2 linked regions of the Saccharomyces cerevisiae S288C genome follow. The gene in region 2 interacts genetically with the main gene of each other region. Each region holds a gene or a part of one and is shown on either strand. Other genes may lie near its edges.

Region 1 (4,068 bases), on a different chromosome or scaffold from region 2:
ATTTTGCCATTTTTCGAGGTTGTGCTTCGCCCTATCCCTTGGAAAACATTTCTAATCATCTTAAATTCTGTGATTGAGAACGTTTTAACGTTATCTTAAACGTTTCCATAGAAGAACGAACGTGAAGGTTTGTAGCTCGTTAAAAGGCGATCTTGAATGATGTGAAGAAGTGTAAAAGGCTTAGGAAAGTTGCTTGTTGACCCGGTGTCGTTCAATATACTCCTATTACCCAAATGGCAGTTTCATAGAGTGATATTATTTCGTTGCCTTGTGTAAGTTAGAAGTACTTCTTGTCGATTGTGAATTCGGATAGCCGCTAGAACGCCAATCATTGCGGAGGTTTGCCATCGCATGGATACCATAGCCATCTGCACATTCTAATATAGATTATATTACTTTAGACCATGTCATTTCATAATCGTTGGTTTAAGCGGTGTTGTTTCCACAGTTTGTATGAGAACTTTTGTCCAAAGTAAAGTATCAGTAACGTAATCTGAGCAAACCTACATTAAATCGTAACTCCGCGAGATTCTTTTGTTCAGGTGGATCAGCGGCGTGGTTTACTTCCGATTTGCTCATCGTGCGCATAGCAGCATTTATTCCTCTAATTCGCTCGATAATCAACCTTTCCGCACTACGACGGTGGCAATAGTTGGACCTTAAGATATGCCTATCTGAATACAATTCTTCAACTCACATCAGTGGGACACTAAATAAAGCATATGGTATGAAATACTATGAATTATTGAATTATTGGCAGACACAGCAGCGACAAGTCAGAGTGCTTACAAAAAAAAAAGAGTTGATCCGGCTAAAGAAAGTCTGATTTACGTATTTATCCAGGTTCAAACGGATTGCCAAAAATAGTCGATAACCTCGGAGTAAGCAAAGCAACAATATATTTGTTCTTCGAAAAGGTAAACTTCTTAACTTCTATAGAAGCATTGTACTAGTTCTCTCGAAGAAAAAAACTAAGAAAGCTATAGCTGTATCTTACCAAGCCATGAACTTGAGGAATTGGTAATCCTTATTAGGAAATACGCTAAACTAGGTAATAGCAGATGATTTACTAGCTTACTATCTCACACTAAGTCTGGCAACGCGCTTATTTTTTAATACTTTTATACGAACCAATGAAATTTGATCCTCCCCTTTTTCGTCTAGTTAAATGAAGAGATACAAGTAGGCCTTTCTATTGAGTACTTAGCAAGATATGTATTTCTAAGAAACATCAACAGTTTCAGCCCACAACCGATTCATAAAATGTCTGCCTGGAGGAAAGCTGGTATATCATATGCTGCATATTTGAATGTGGCCGCTCAGGCTATCCGTTCTTCATTGAAAACTGAATTACAAACCGCTAGTGTTCTTAACAGATCGCAAACAGATGCTTTTTATACCCAATATAAAAATGGCACTGCAGCTTCTGAACCCACTCCAATAACAAAATAGTTTAACGCTTCCTGGGAACTGCAGCTCTTTTTTTACTCGCTGATATACATTTTAAATATTCTAGCAACTGTGTATGAAAACTTACGTACTTTTATACGGGAAACTAATAATGACTACAATGATATTGAATACTGGCCGCTTCGAAGAGTGGTATAAAGTTTGTATCATTGCATTAAAAGAAAAAGAAATATATGTCCCATCATCGCCAATCGCAATGTTGAATGGTCGTTTACCACTTTTGCGGCTGGGCATATGCAGAAACATGCTGTCCCGTCCCCGACTGGCTAAACTGCCATCTATAAGGTTTCGGTCTTTGGTCACCCCTTCTTCATCGCAGCTCATTCCTCTCAGTCGGTTGTGTTTAAGGTCACCTGCAGTTGGAAAATCACTAATTTTACAAAGTTTTAGATGTAATTCATCCAAAACAGTTCCAGAAACTTCTCTGCCTTCAGCCTCTCCCATATCTAAAGGATCAGCAAGGTCGGCACATGCAAAGGAGCAATCTAAAACTGATGACTATAAAGATATAATAAGGTTATTTATGTTGGCGAAACGGGATTGGAAACTGCTTCTTACAGCCATACTTCTTTTAACCATATCATGTTCCATAGGCATGTCTATTCCTAAAGTCATAGGTATTGTCCTTGACACACTTAAGACGTCATCTGGATCAGATTTTTTTGATTTGAAGATACCGATTTTTTCTTTGCCTTTATATGAGTTTCTTTCCTTTTTTACTGTTGCTTTACTGATTGGTTGTGCTGCTAATTTTGGTAGATTTATATTATTGAGGATACTAAGTGAGCGTGTTGTTGCACGCCTAAGGGCAAATGTCATTAAAAAAACGCTTCATCAAGACGCAGAATTCTTCGACAACCATAAAGTTGGGGATTTAATTTCTCGTTTAGGATCTGATGCTTATGTTGTTTCAAGATCAATGACCCAGAAGGTCTCGGATGGGGTCAAAGCCCTAATTTGTGGGGTTGTTGGCGTGGGGATGATGTGTTCTTTGTCACCTCAACTATCAATATTGTTACTATTCTTCACTCCACCTGTTCTTTTTAGTGCCTCAGTGTTCGGGAAGCAAATTAGAAACACCTCTAAAGACCTTCAAGAAGCTACTGGTCAATTGACTAGAGTCGCTGAAGAACAACTCTCTGGTATCAAGACGGTTCAGTCGTTTGTTGCTGAAGGTAATGAATTGTCTAGGTATAACGTTGCAATTAGAGATATTTTTCAGGTGGGAAAAACTGCGGCATTTACAAACGCAAAGTTTTTTACTACAACTAGTCTCTTAGGTGACCTAAGTTTTTTAACCGTCCTTGCGTATGGCTCCTATCTTGTTTTACAATCACAGCTCTCCATTGGTGATCTGACTGCATTTATGCTGTACACAGAATATACGGGGAATGCGGTATTCGGCCTTTCTACCTTCTATTCGGAAATTATGCAGGGTGCTGGGGCCGCTTCCAGGTTGTTTGAATTAACAGATAGGAAACCTTCCATTTCACCGACTGTGGGACACAAGTATAAACCAGATCGTGGTGTTATCGAATTTAAAGATGTTTCATTTAGCTACCCTACAAGGCCTTCTGTTCAAATATTCAAGAATTTAAATTTTAAAATTGCGCCAGGATCGAGTGTTTGTATTGTGGGCCCTTCAGGTCGTGGTAAATCTACAATTGCACTCTTACTGCTAAGATATTATAATCCCACTACTGGGACTATTACGATAGATAACCAAGATATCTCTAAATTGAATTGTAAATCCCTAAGAAGGCATATTGGTATCGTTCAGCAAGAGCCGGTACTGATGTCAGGTACTATTAGGGATAATATCACTTATGGGTTGACATATACCCCAACAAAGGAAGAAATCAGGTCAGTAGCAAAGCAGTGCTTTTGCCATAACTTTATCACAAAATTTCCGAACACATACGATACGGTAATTGGTCCTCACGGCACCTTACTAAGTGGAGGACAAAAGCAGCGTATTGCGATTGCAAGGGCTCTAATCAAAAAGCCAACTATTTTGATTCTTGATGAAGCTACATCAGCTTTAGATGTTGAAAGTGAAGGAGCCATTAACTATACGTTTGGTCAACTAATGAAATCAAAATCGATGACTATTGTTAGCATCGCGCACAGGCTAAGTACGATCAGAAGATCAGAGAATGTTATTGTCCTTGGCCATGATGGATCAGTGGTAGAAATGGGCAAATTCAAAGAATTGTATGCGAATCCAACAAGTGCTTTATCGCAATTACTTAATGAGAAAGCGGCTCCTGGGCCATCTGACCAACAACTGCAAATAGAGAAGGTCATCGAAAAGGAAGATTTGAATGAGAGTAAGGAGCATGATGACCAGAAAAAGGACGATAATGACGATAATGATAATAATCATGATAACGACAGCAATAACCAGTCTCCAGAGACGAAAGACAATAATTCAGATGATATTGAAAAATCTGTCGAACATCTCCTGAAAGACGCGGCAAAGGAGGCTAATCCAATTAAGATCACACCACAACCGTGAGTCATCCGCATCGCATATACCCATTCTTATCTCGCACATTTAAATATATACTATATATAATACTGTTAAATGCCAAATAA
Region 2 (4,537 bases):
TCCCACGTTTATATACTTCCGTATATCCCAACAGTTCCCTGAATTCTAAATTTTGTTTTGAACTTTCCAGTAGACTCTTCAAGTGCTTAGCACCAAGGTAAGCTTTGATATTAACATAAGCTCTATAAGATAGGTAGAACCCTGGAACATTTGGTATAAGCGGTATTAAAATTAGAGGAATTGTCAGCGGGAGACCTAAAAGGCAATATAAAGTCCATTTTTTGTGATAAATTAAGCCTTCTTGGTAGAGCTTTTTCATTTGTCTCAAGCACTCATCAGGGCTAGAAATTCCAGGGGGATAATACACGTGTAAGGGTTGAGTATCGACCTGTTCTGCCTTTACGGTATAATCTTTCAATGTGAGTCGAATCTCTTGGGTCTTATCTTTCTCTCCCTTAATTCTCTTCAATATATAGCTTTCACTTGGTATGGTTAACAGACTATTTTCTGACCAGGGTGTGCTATTTAACAGAGACTGCACCATGGACACTATTTTTTTATTATACGATTTAGGGGACTTTTTCAGTTTTCTCCAAAGCTTTGCTGATTTCTCAACGATCCACTTTTCTGCTTTTAATATTCTAGACTGACTATTAAAGAGATTATCGGTATGCTTATAGTAAATGAATGATTCTTTGTCCGTTATTGGTATCACAGTCACTTTAACAGGATCATGCAGATATTTTTGGAGTGAAGCCTTTTCAAGTTTTGTTGAATACGCCCTCATTCCGTAGAACAGTCGAGAAGTGGCAGTTATACTAGTTGGCGGTATAAATATTGAACGTATCATCTTTAATCTAAAATACACCGGATGAAGTTTTGGTATTGTGATAAAATGATTCTATCGATGAAGAGCAATGATATGGATACTGCTACGTTGAAAAGGAAAAATTTCATGGCTAACTAGTAACTGAAACTGTGCCAGATAGCACACCCTTTAGATACTATCTTGGCACAATGCCCGATGCTTACTCCCCGGCGGAGACAGCCGTCAAGTCCATCCATCCAAAAGTGGAGGAAAAACAAGAAAATAAAGCTATCGAACAAGGAGCGTTGAAGTAAGAAAAACAAACGAAGAACTGAATAAACACAGCCTGCTTCAAATTATGGAAGGAGCTGTTACACATGGTAATTTTCTTATTTTTTTTGATAGATGGTGGAAAGTGGTAGCGTGGAAGTTGCGGATTATCACGACGTTTTATGGGCTCTAAATCGGTATAAGCTCAACAAATGGTTGAGGGCCGAATAAACGAAAAATTATTAGACCATAATTGCTACCAGCTGAAAGATTATCTCATTATAATACGCTTGAAACCCTCTAAAATGTCATTCGTAGTTAAGTACACTTTTTTGATCTCTCCAAGGTTAGCCGCCCATATAAAAAACTCTAGGAACCAAATTTGGTATACTGCGTGCGCTTGAGATTCAGTTTTTGTGTAAATCGGTTGCTGCAAACTATTTATATTAATGTTACATCGATGCAAGATTTTAGCCATGTTCCTAGTTTCTTGTCTATGAGCGTTTACTCAACCGAGACTCTTGTTTGCTATTATCTCGATTCGACGAACAAACAGTTCCCTGGGTATTCGAACAAAGCACAGTTGGTGATTTTGTTTGAAACTACAGACGTGCTCTCTTTTACAAAATAAATTGTAGGAAGTGATCCGCACAGGCAGAGGGAATTACAGATCACGCTCCTCTCTTATGACTAATGCACTCAGCATTTTCTCTTCCTTATAAACTCCGTCCACAGTACCCGATCAGCTGGCTCATCGTTATTCTAAATTAACTGATGACTGATGTTACGTCTGCGTCAAATTCCGCCGGAATATTGCGTAGTTTTAGTAAGAAAAAAACAAATTCCGACGGGAACTCTCTGCAAGGAAGTTTAAGCGTGGGTTACTTTGCTAGGTTGAGAAAAAGAATTCTTTAGAGGATCACACGTAGTAAAAGAAAAAAAAGATCTCTTCGCGCCACTCCCGGTTTCTCTGTGGATACGGCGTTACTAGCGTTGCAAGTGGCAAAAAAATGAGTAATGTCACAATGGCCTGGCCTTGTCCCACTATCCCTTATTCATGGTTGAAAAATATGACCAAAATTGCTGGGGAATTTTCTCTTCGGTAGTGGACGACGACGACATTAGAGCAATAGGCAATAATTTAATTTGCGCTTTAGGTTCTTGCTGACGATGATGCGTGAGTAATATTATTACCAAGTTTTAAGGGCCTCATCGCTGGCCATTTTTTACACCTGCTTAAATACCCGATGATGATATATATAAATGATATTGGCTGCTTATCGATAAAGTGTATTTGATATGTTCCCGTTTAGTTTATTCTTGTTTCTTATCTACATAACAAACAAAGGAAGGACCCTGTATTGTTTTCCTAAAGATGACTGCTGCTAAACCAAATCCATATGCTGCCAAACCGGGCGACTATCTTTCTAATGTAAATAATTTCCAGTTAATCGATTCGACGCTGAGAGAAGGTGAACAATTTGCCAACGCATTCTTCGATACTGAAAAAAAGATCGAAATTGCTAGAGCCTTGGACGATTTCGGTGTGGACTACATCGAGTTAACCTCACCAGTAGCATCTGAACAATCAAGAAAGGACTGTGAAGCTATATGTAAACTAGGTTTAAAGGCCAAGATCCTTACACACATTCGTTGTCATATGGATGACGCCAAAGTCGCCGTAGAGACTGGTGTCGACGGTGTCGATGTCGTTATCGGCACCTCCAAATTTTTAAGACAATATTCCCACGGTAAGGATATGAACTACATCGCCAAGAGTGCTGTTGAAGTCATTGAATTTGTCAAATCCAAAGGTATTGAAATCAGATTTTCCTCTGAAGATTCCTTCAGAAGTGATCTCGTTGATCTTTTGAACATTTATAAAACCGTTGACAAGATCGGTGTAAATAGAGTCGGTATTGCCGACACAGTTGGATGTGCCAACCCAAGACAAGTATATGAACTGATCAGAACTTTGAAGAGTGTTGTTTCATGTGACATCGAATGCCATTTCCACAACGATACTGGTTGTGCCATTGCAAACGCCTACACTGCTTTGGAAGGTGGTGCCAGATTGATTGACGTCAGTGTACTGGGTATTGGTGAAAGAAACGGTATCACTCCTCTAGGTGGGCTCATGGCAAGAATGATTGTTGCCGCACCAGACTATGTCAAGTCCAAATACAAGTTGCACAAGATCAGAGACATTGAAAACCTGGTCGCTGATGCTGTGGAAGTTAACATTCCATTCAACAACCCTATCACCGGGTTCTGTGCATTCACACATAAAGCAGGTATCCATGCCAAGGCCATTTTGGCTAACCCATCTACCTACGAAATCTTGGACCCTCACGATTTCGGTATGAAGAGGTATATCCACTTCGCCAACAGACTAACTGGCTGGAACGCCATCAAAGCCAGAGTCGACCAGTTGAACTTGAACTTGACGGATGACCAAATCAAGGAAGTTACTGCTAAGATTAAGAAGCTGGGTGATGTCAGATCGCTGAATATCGATGATGTTGACTCTATCATCAAGAACTTCCACGCAGAGGTCAGCACTCCTCAAGTACTATCTGCAAAAAAGAACAAGAAGAATGACAGCGATGTACCGGAACTGGCCACCATCCCCGCCGCCAAGCGGACTAAGCCATCCGCCTAACGTTCCCAAACCATTACATTATGTTCTTTCACTTATTACATACGATATATAGCATCTACATCTACATATCTAAATGATGTTTTTTCCCATCTACTTTGTCCGATACGCATTAAAAGAAGAAGATTTACTCTCCCGTGATGCCGGGCCAATCAGACGCGCGCATTCGCGGCAGAATAAGGGGAGGCTGCTGCGGGTACCAAATATCCAGATATTCACAATTATGCCAATCAACTGTCTAGTTGCTGACACCCATCGTTTTCCACTGCAACGAGGTTTTGGGGCTAGAAAAGGCGTTAACAATCGTTAGAGAAGGAGGGGTTCATAACTTGACTTGTTGTATCTTGTTTAAAACTTTCTTTGAATTTGTTCGTGGTTGAATTTGTTTTTGCTATCCCAAAGGAGTGCATTTTACACGCATTACTACAGCACACTTTTATACAGTTCCACAATAGAATATGTTACCACGTTCAGCATTAGCACGCTCATTGCAATTACAGCGCGGTGTGGCCGCAAGGTTCTACTCTGAAGGTTCTACCGGCACCCCAAGAGGGTCAGGCTCAGAGGATTCGTTTGTTAAAAGGGAAAGGGCCACGGAAGACTTCTTCGTTAGGCAGCGTGAGAAGGAGCAACTACGCCATTTGAAAGAACAACTGGAAAAACAACGAAAGAAGATTGATTCTTTGGAAAATAAAATTGACTCGATGACCAAATAATCATGCGTTTCCGCAGAAGCTTTTTTTTTTTTTTTTTTAGAATATTCTTACTCTTTTATAGTCAAACAGCAGAAAAACTATATAATAATACATCACACTGAGCTTTTGCATTTTCGATAACTATCATTCTAGTTTTCCTCTGGT

The links.
Region 1: mutations in LYS20 (region 2) and MDL2 together harm fitness more than expected from each alone (negative genetic interaction), as found in Saccharomyces cerevisiae (2 studies listed by BioGRID).

Annotation. Positions count from the first base shown.
Region 1 is NC_001148.4:28,816-32,883, forward strand, and holds MDL2 (ATP-binding cassette permease MDL2), read left to right. Parts: upstream 1-1,666; coding exon 1,667-3,988; downstream 3,989-4,068. Other genes in the region: ATP15 (F1F0 ATP synthase subunit epsilon), read left to right, coding at 1,264-1,452.
Region 2 is NC_001136.10:131,044-135,580, forward strand, and holds LYS20 (homocitrate synthase LYS20), read left to right. Parts: upstream 1-2,393; coding exon 2,394-3,680; downstream 3,681-4,537. Other genes in the region: MRX19 (Mrx19p), read right to left, coding at 1-790; INH1 (ATPase inhibitor), read left to right, coding at 4,136-4,393. UniProt on the Saccharomyces cerevisiae protein: Catalyzes the aldol-type condensation of 2-oxoglutarate with acetyl-CoA to yield homocitrate. Carries out the first step of the alpha-aminoadipate (AAA) lysine biosynthesis pathway.